Macaca mulatta: one gene and its partner. The protein of the gene in region 1 purifies or fractionates together with the protein of each later gene. This does not show direct contact. Links are inferred from orthologs where the notes say so. Each region holds a gene or a part of one and is shown in the gene's direction. Other genes may lie near its edges.

The links.
Region 2: the proteins of MARK2 (region 1) and FUCA1 purify together in Homo sapiens (affinity purification with mass spectrometry; 3 studies listed by BioGRID and IntAct, counting the BioPlex papers as one, with this or other methods). This does not show direct contact. The link is inferred for Macaca mulatta from reciprocal best matches to the Homo sapiens genes MARK2 and FUCA1.

The regions. Positions count from the first base shown.
Region 1 is NC_133419.1:10,508,017-10,511,817, reverse strand, and holds part of MARK2 (serine/threonine-protein kinase MARK2), read left to right. Parts: intron 1-310; coding exon 311-568; intron 569-1,601; coding exon 1,602-1,628; intron 1,629-3,752; coding exon 3,753-3,797; intron 3,798-3,801. UniProt on the Homo sapiens protein: Serine/threonine-protein kinase. Involved in cell polarity and microtubule dynamics regulation. Phosphorylates CRTC2/TORC2, DCX, HDAC7, KIF13B, MAP2, MAP4 and RAB11FIP2. Phosphorylates the microtubule-associated protein MAPT/TAU.
Region 2 is NC_133406.1:217,121,916-217,126,277, forward strand, and holds the start of FUCA1 (tissue alpha-L-fucosidase), read left to right. Parts: upstream 1-1,461; 5' UTR 1,462-1,501; coding exon 1,502-1,893; intron 1,894-4,362. UniProt on the Homo sapiens protein: Alpha-L-fucosidase is responsible for hydrolyzing the alpha-1,6-linked fucose joined to the reducing-end N-acetylglucosamine of the carbohydrate moieties of glycoproteins.

The DNA.
Region 1 (3,801 bases):
ATTGCCCGCTTGAGGGTCCAGTCTGCCCGGCTCCCAGGGAGGCCGCTCTGTCCAGCCTAAACCACACTCCACACACGGGTCCTTCCTTGCCTCCCTCCCTCCCTTCCCAAACCATCTCCTTCCACTTCCACAAGACTTCCTTCTCACCACTGTCCTCAATAGTCACACCCTTCCTTCTGTGTCCTCGTGATGGCTGCCTCTGCCCTAGCATCCCCCTCCCTGTCCCCACCACAGGGTGTCCAGGTGCCCAGTGATGATGGCTGTCCTGTACCCTAATTCATCCCCCTCAACCCCACTTCTCTTCTCACAGCACAGCCCCCCAACGTGTCCCTGTCGCCTCCCCATCCGCCCACAACATCAGCAGCAGTGGTGGAGCCCCAGACCGAACTAATTTCCCCCGGGGTGTGTCCAGCCGAAGCACCTTCCATGCTGGGCAGCTCCGACAGGTGCGGGACCAGCAGAATTTGCCCTATGGTGTGACCCCAGCCTCTCCCTCTGGCCACAGCCAGGGCCGGCGGGGGGCCTCTGGGAGCATCTTCAGCAAGTTCACCTCCAAGTTTGTACGCAGGTAAGCAAGGAGCTTTGGGTGGCAGAGAGGCTTAGGCCAGGCCTTCCTACCTGACTGGGAGTGGGTTAGGGGTTGGGGGTTGGGATTTGGGACACTCTGTACTGGTATTGGGTCTTGGGGTTAGAAGAGGCTTGGGGAAGCACAAGAAATTGGGTCTTTGTCAACACCTTGTATGCCCAGGCCCACCCCTCTGAGGCCTCTCCCCAACTCCTTACAGGCACCCCTCATTCTCTGGCCCCAAGCAGATGGCCGATGCCGCCTCCTCTCTAGGAGAGTGTGAACTCAGATGCTAAAATAAAAGCCCCCCCTTCTCTCCTGGGTTCCCATGGAAACTTATATTTGGTGACGCAGCTGCAAAGTCATGAGGCATGAGCCAGGCTGGGGCCAGCAAGGAAAATTTTGTCCTGGTCTCTTGTCCCTTTGACTGCCTCTCCCCTTAGCTGGTTCTGTTTGTGGCTGCAGCCACAGCCATGCCCTTCCGCCCGGGGGTTCTTACGGTGAAACCTATAAATGAAATCACTGGCGAGGGCCCACAGTGGCCTAACCAGAGGTTGTGCCAAAGCTTTCCTGTGTTGGACCCAGGGTGGGGATCTCTTCATGGGGTTTCTCACACCTGAGCCCCCAGCCACCACAGAGGGGCAGCTTGAAGTGCATCCAGCCAACTGGCTGGCCTCCTGGGATGCTCCGCGTCCCTGTCATGCCCATTCCTCTCCCTGCCTTGGAGTAGCAGCTCAGGAAGCAGCAGGGGCTTTGAGAGAGCAGGCTCGCCTGCCCTTCCTCTACGTTTCACTCCACTCTGCTGGAGGAGCCAAAGCCACTGCCCCATCTGAACCCCAAAATGCAGGTGTGAGGCCTGCAGAGAGGGTGGGCAGGTCTGAAAGCCTGGGACTCTAGTCTCGCTGAGCGGCTCTTCCGAAAATGGGATGACCCTTGAACCTGTGAAGCCACTCCCCACCTGCTTATCCACATACCGTCTTGTTGGTTTTTTTTTATTTCTTTTTTTATTTTGTCTTTTTTTTGTTTGTTTTTTTAGAAATCTGTCTTTCAGGTTTGCCAGAAGGTAGGCGTTGAGCCCGCTGTGTGTGTGTGTGTGTGTGTGTCCGTGTCCTGTGTCCTGCCTCCATCACTAACTCCCCTTTTCTGGCTCTTACTCTCCTCCATCTGCTTAACCAAGTCTGTGTGGCCCTCCTTTCTCTGCCATCTTAAAGGGATGAAGACTGCCTCTGATTGGGCAACGGCACAGGGCCTGCCTTCAGTGCCCCCAGTACGAACAGGCAGGGCTAAGAGGCCACATTGGCCCACTCAGGGCAAATGGCTTTAAAAATGAGGGGCCTTCCTTGGGCCCACAGTTACGCCTGTCCTCAAGTAAGGGGAGACTGTCTCAGGGAAGCCTCCCTTTAAGATTGTCTCCTCTCACCCACCCCACCCCATCCCCACTCCCCCTCACTCCAGGTTTTGGTCAGTGTTGGGATCCTTTCCTGGCCCTTTCCCCTGTCATGTGCATGCGCTGTGAGGAAGCTCCAGGGTTACAAGTGCATCTGGGATGGTATCTTGTCTGTCTCCTGGGCTTCCTGAACTTCAGAGCTGTGTGACCTCTTCCCCTTGGCCTATGGGATGGCAGGACTTTGGAGACACTACAGGGACCCTGGGGCCCCAAGGTTTCAGTCTAGATCCTCCAGACCTTAGGAGCTTTTGTCTCACAAATGGAGCACAGCACCCCCTCCTGGCAGCTCCTGCAGGACTAGCCCCACCCACCCGCACCCCTGCCCCAACACCCCTGCCACCAGCAGCATCTGGATAAATCAAGCCTCTTCTCCTCCGGGCTGTTTTCTCCAGATATGGCCTGTCCCTTCCAAAGTGCCGGGAGCTGGGACATTCCAGGGCAAGGGCCGTTCTACCCCAAGCCCTAGCAAAACAACAGATCTCTGCACCCTTACCCAGGGGTCTCCCTTCATGGGCCCCTTCCTGGCTGTTTCACCCCTGGCCTTAGGCTCATCCTCTCTGCAGGCCTCGGGGGCCAAATACCAAGCTGAAGACCAAGGGCCAGGTTAAGAGTGCTTGTTCCCCAGGGCTGTCTGCTCAGGCCCTGCACTGGAACTGGGATGCCTGGCAGGCACATTGGTGCCACAGCTGATGGAGGAACGTCCAGACAGGGTCTTCAGGCTTTCCCCATCCCCTCCTCCTCTCACCCAGCGCTTGACTGCCTGGCTGGCTGCTGCCTCAAGGGGCCCCAGCAGGGGGCTGCCCCACAAGGCATCTGGAGAGAGCGGGGCGGGTGCCTTCCTCGCACAGCCGGGCTCCCTGCTCGCAGTGCGCTTGTGTGCACCCCTGTGTTGGTTGTGTCTTCCTGTTTATTTCTATGTGCTGCTGCTCTTTCTCCTTCCTCTCACATCCTCCCTCTGCAATCCCCAATTTCCTAGCTCCAGACACCCATCTTCCAGCCAGGAGCTGGAGAAGCCGCTCAGCGGGGCCAGACCTCTTCCCCACCCACCCACCCAAGGTGTCTGCCCCGCCCCGCCCTCGTCCTCCCTGTGTATGAGCAGATGGCCTGGCAGGCCAGCAGGTAGGGGAGTTGGGAAAGGTCGGAGGAGGCGGCCTTTTCCACTCAGCAGCAGGCACCCATCCCCAGGTGCCTACCATGCAGACCCAGGCCTTGGCACTTTGAGCCTTCTGACAGAGACCCTTGCGTAGCCACAGCCCCTCCTCCTACAGAGACCCAAAGCATTGCAGCCCCTTTCCTCCAAAAGGACTGCAGTCCTGAGACCCTAGCGTGTGGCTCCAAAAACTTACTCACACCCGCAACCCCCAGAACAGCGCGTGAGCCCTGGCTGTGGGGGAGCAGCCTCGTGCCCGGCTGTGTGCTCGGTGTGCTCAGTGAAGTGCGTGCACAGCCACTCCCCCTCCTCCCCCAGAGCGGAGGCTCCTTCTCCCCGGCACAGATCTGGGAGTGTGGGGAGGGACAGGCCCCATGTGCTGGGCTCCCTGCTGGAAAGGAATGGTTGAGCCGCCAGTGTGAGGTGCTGCAGAGCCCTGTTGGCTTGCCAGGTGATGGGCAGAGGGCCCTGGGCTTGGGTCCTGCCCACCCACTGGTGGCACCTCCCCAGACCCACTCTCATCTGGGTCTGTGGCGGCGGAAGGAGCGAGAGATCCCAGCACTAAACTCTCCCTCGCTCTGTTTTTTGAGGAACCTGAATGAACCTGAAAGCAAAGACCGAGTGGAGACGCTCAGGTGA
Region 2 (4,362 bases), on another chromosome or scaffold:
GGGAAGAGGATGGTGCCTAGGATCTTCAAAGTCCCTTCCAACTCTGAAGTGCTGCCATTCTCTCACTGGCATGTGGGAACTGAGAGTGCTACGTGGGGTCATGAGACTTCTTCTTCTTTTATTTTATTTATTTATTTATTTTTTTGAGACGGAGTCTCGCTCTATCGCCCAGGCTGGAGTGCAGTGGTGCGATCTTGGCTCACTGTCACCTCCACCTCCGGAGTTCAAGCTATTCTCCTGCCTCAGCCTCCTGAGTAGCTGGGATTACAGGCGCACCCCACGCCCGGCTAATTTTGTATTTTTAGTACAGATGGGGTTTCACCACGTTGGCCAGGCTGGTCTCAAACTCCCGACCTCAGGTGATCTGCCCACCTCGGCCTCCCAAAGTGCTGGGATTACAGGCGTGAGCCACCTTGTCCGGTCAGAGACTTCTGACTTCTGTATTTCCCTCGCTAATAGCCTCACCTCCCGTTTGAGTATGTGCAGCACGTACAAATTGCAGAGGAACTGGGGAACTTCCCTGCCAGGCAATCCTTTGGCCTGGGTCCCCTTGGCTCTCCACTTTCTTTTTCTTTTCTTTCTTTCTTCTTTTCTTTTCTTTTTCTTTTTTTTTTTTTTTTTGAGACGGAGTCTCGCTCTGTCGCCCACGGGCTGGAGTGCAGTGGCGTGATGTCGGTAGAAGCTAAGCTATTTGAAATGCCTCAGAATTCCCAAAGAAAGCTCAGTAAATACTAGACAGATGAAACGGTCCTGCCCACTCCCCCTCTTTCAGTACCTACTTTTCTCCCTCCTCTCCCCTCATAATGTTTCCTCCCATCATCCGTCTACCTCCTTATTTCTGTCAGGGCTGTTAGATACCCTTCCAGTCTGGTATCTCCTCCTCCAGCCCCCTATGGCTCCCAAGTGATCACTAAAAAAAACTTGTGATCTGACTTCAGCCTACCCCTGCAGGATTGCTGCAGCAAAATGGATTACTCCCAGAGGCGTGATCACGGTTCGGTTCACTGCAGCCCAAACTTCCCGGGCTCAAGCGATCCCGAACCTCCCACCTCAGCCTCTTGAGTAGCTGGGACTCCAGAGGTGCACCACCACGCCAGGCTCAATTTGTTTATTTTTTGTAGCGACAGGCTAGTCTCCAACTTGTGGGCTCAGAGTGTTAGGATTACAGGCGTGAGCCACTGCGCCTGGCTCAATGGACTTCTTAAATGTGAGTTCTCCGAACACACTGGGCGTTGCTCACCTCCACGATTTAACCTCGCAGTTAAGTCCCTTTTCAAGGTTTTTATTCGTCCTTCAGCGAAGCGCTGTCAACGCCTCCCTACGTCTTTCCGGATTAGAGTACCAGAGGGCTCTCCGCCAACCCGAAGAGGAAGCGACTGGGGCCAACCTATCCGGGTTGTCCCACCCCTTTTTCCTTCCGGGCCAATCGTTAGTCAGAGTGGGCGGAGCCGTGCGCCAGCACCTGCGCATTAAGAGTGGGCCGCGTCGCCTCCGGGCAGCAATGCGGGCTCCGGGGGAGAGGTGGCGGCCGGCGGGTGCCGCGCTGTGGCTGCTGCTGCTCCTCCTCCTCGGAGCGACCGAGTCGGTGCGTCGGGCCCAGCCTCTGCGCCGCTACACCCCGGACTGGCCGAGCCTGGATTCTAGGCCGCTGCCGTCCTGGTTCGACGAAGCCAAGTTCGGGGTGTTCATCCACTGGGGCGTGTTCTCGGTGCCCGCCTGGGGCAGCGAGTGGTTCTGGTGGAACTGGCAGGGCGAGGGGCGGCCGCAGTACCAGCGCTTCATGCGCGACAACTACCCGCCCGGCTTCAGCTACGCCGACTTCGGGCCGCAGTTTACCGCGCGCTTCTTCCACCCGGAGGAGTGGGCCGACCTCTTCCAGGCCGCGGGCGCCAAGTGAGTGTGGTCCCTGGGGGCGGCGCCCCTTCCCCGCTCGGGTGGCAGACAGGAGGTGGGGTGGGCGGCCAGCCGGGGCGCGCAGCTGCCGGTAGCCCCCATGACCCCGGGACCCGCGTGTGGCCTCCTGCGGCCGCAAGAGTGAGCGTGACACACCTGATGAGGAGGAGGAGGTGCGTCTGGCTGGGGACTGATAAATGAAGTTTCGGGAGATGGCGGACTGAGAAGCCCTGGGTATCTACACCTGTGCACCGAGAGGGCTGAGTTAGGCCACTGATGTCCCTTTCAGATTGACAGCCCTATCAGGACTCCAGGGTTTCAAATCAGTGGTGTGGAGCCTGGTTCTAATTCAACTGTGAACCTGGACAAGTCACTTCAGCCTCCCTGCAGCCTCTTCTATGGTTATAGAAAGGGGTTGTATCCTTTCCTTTCAGTCCTAACGTCTCTAAGAGGGAAAGAGAGGGGAGTTCTGGTGTGCAGTGTATTTGGGCAACAGTACAGATAGTCATTCATTTGCTCCTCTCAATCGCTTGTACCTAGGAAGTGCCCAAGAAAGGTTTGACTCTGAGAACTGTTGGAACTTGGGGGTGGCTGGTTCAGACAACAGAGTAGAGAGCGCTGGGGTGGGGATAAGGGGAGACCAGGACCCATGAAGTTGTCAAGGCAGGGGCTTATCCTGAAGGAGTGAGCCCTGAGAGCCCTGTATTTCCAGGTGTTAAGTCAGGGAGTGGTTACTCTCAGCTTCTAGAAAGATTCATTCGGCTGCTGGGAGAGAAGTGGGTTGGAGAAGAGTAAGAATGGAGGCGGGGAGGTTTCCCCAGCCCCTGGCTTAGAGCAGTCTTCCATTCTTATCTTGGTTCCTAAGCTATCTTCCGGGTTTTCCTTTCTCTTGAACTTTGGATTCTCTTGTACAAAACAGAAATTATAACTGGCATTTAGTGTTTGCCATTAAATGTATGGGAGTATAAGACTTGATTAAGCAGAGGACGTGTTTGTCTCCTAGGACCTTAGAGATCCATAACTTATCATTGAGAAAAATTAAAATCTGGGAGATAGCCTCTTTCTCTGCCTTTTATTTCATGGATGAGGTGACTGGCCCAAAGAGAGGAAGAAATACAATGTCCTAGACTGCAAGTCTCATGACATCAAGGTTGTTTACACTGCACCAGGGTCTGCAAACTGGTCAGCGGGATTGGTCCTCTGCCATTTTTGTTTGTTTGTTTGTTTGTTTTGTTTTTTGGTTTTCTGTTTGTTTTTTGAGATGGAGTCTCGCTCTGTCGCCCAGGCTGGAGTGCAGTGGTGCGATCTCTGCTCAGTGCAAGCTCCACCCCCCGGATTCATGCCATTCTCCTGCCTCAGCCTCCCGAGTAGCTATGACTACAGGCGCCCACCACCACGCCCGGCTAATTTTTTTGTATTTTTAGTAGAGACAGTGTTCACCAGGATGGTCTCGATCTCCTGACCTCGTGATCCGCTTGCCTCAGCCTCCCAAAGTGCTGGGATTACAGGCGTGAGCCACCGCGCCCGGCCTGTTTTGTTTTTTTGGAGACAGTTTCACTCTTGTTGCCCAGGCTGGAGTGCAATGGCGTGATCTTGGCTCACTGCAGCCTCCGCCTCCTGGGTCCCGGTTCAAGCAGTTCTCCTGCCTCAGCCTCCTGAGTAGCTGAGATCACAGGCACGCACCACTACACCCAGCTAATTTTTGTATTTTTAGTGGAGACGGGTTTCACCATGTTGGCCAGGCTGGTCTCGAACTCCTGACCTTGTGATCTGCCTGCCTCGGCCTCCCAAAGTGCTGGGATTGCAGGCGTGAGCCACCGCGCCCAGACTCTGCCAGTTTTTTAAGGCCCATGAAGTGAGAATGGTTTTTACAATTTTAAAGGATTGTAAAAATTTTTAAAGAAGAATACACTACAGAGAGGAATGTGCCCCCAGAGCCTAAAAGGACTTGGTCCTTCAAGTCCTGGAGTTCCCTCTCTGGCCAGTGATTGAATCATAAAGTGCAGGTATTAGCTGTTTTTCTGCCATAAAAGCAAATTAAATATTGAGTGATTTGGTTGTTATTTCAACACTTGCCTTTTCTCCCAGTTATTGGGTCTTTTGTTACCTCTATAATAAATGAGAGGCAATTTATATAGGCTTGGTAAACCAAACAGCTTAGTTTTCTGTTTTCTTATTTGTTGTTGTTGTTTTGAAACAGTTTTGCTCTGTAGCCCAGGCTGGAGTACAATTGCACGATCTCTGCTCACTGCAACCTCCGTCTCCCAGGCTCAAGTAATTCTTGTGCTCCAGCCTCTCAAGTACCTGGGACTACAGGCACACACCACCATACCCAGCTAATTTTTGTATTTTTAGTAGAGATGGGTTTTCGCCATGTTGGCCAGATTGAACCCCTGACCTCAGGTAAACCGCCCACCTTGGCCTCCCAAAGTGCTGGGATTATAAGTGTGAGCCACCATGCCTGGCCAG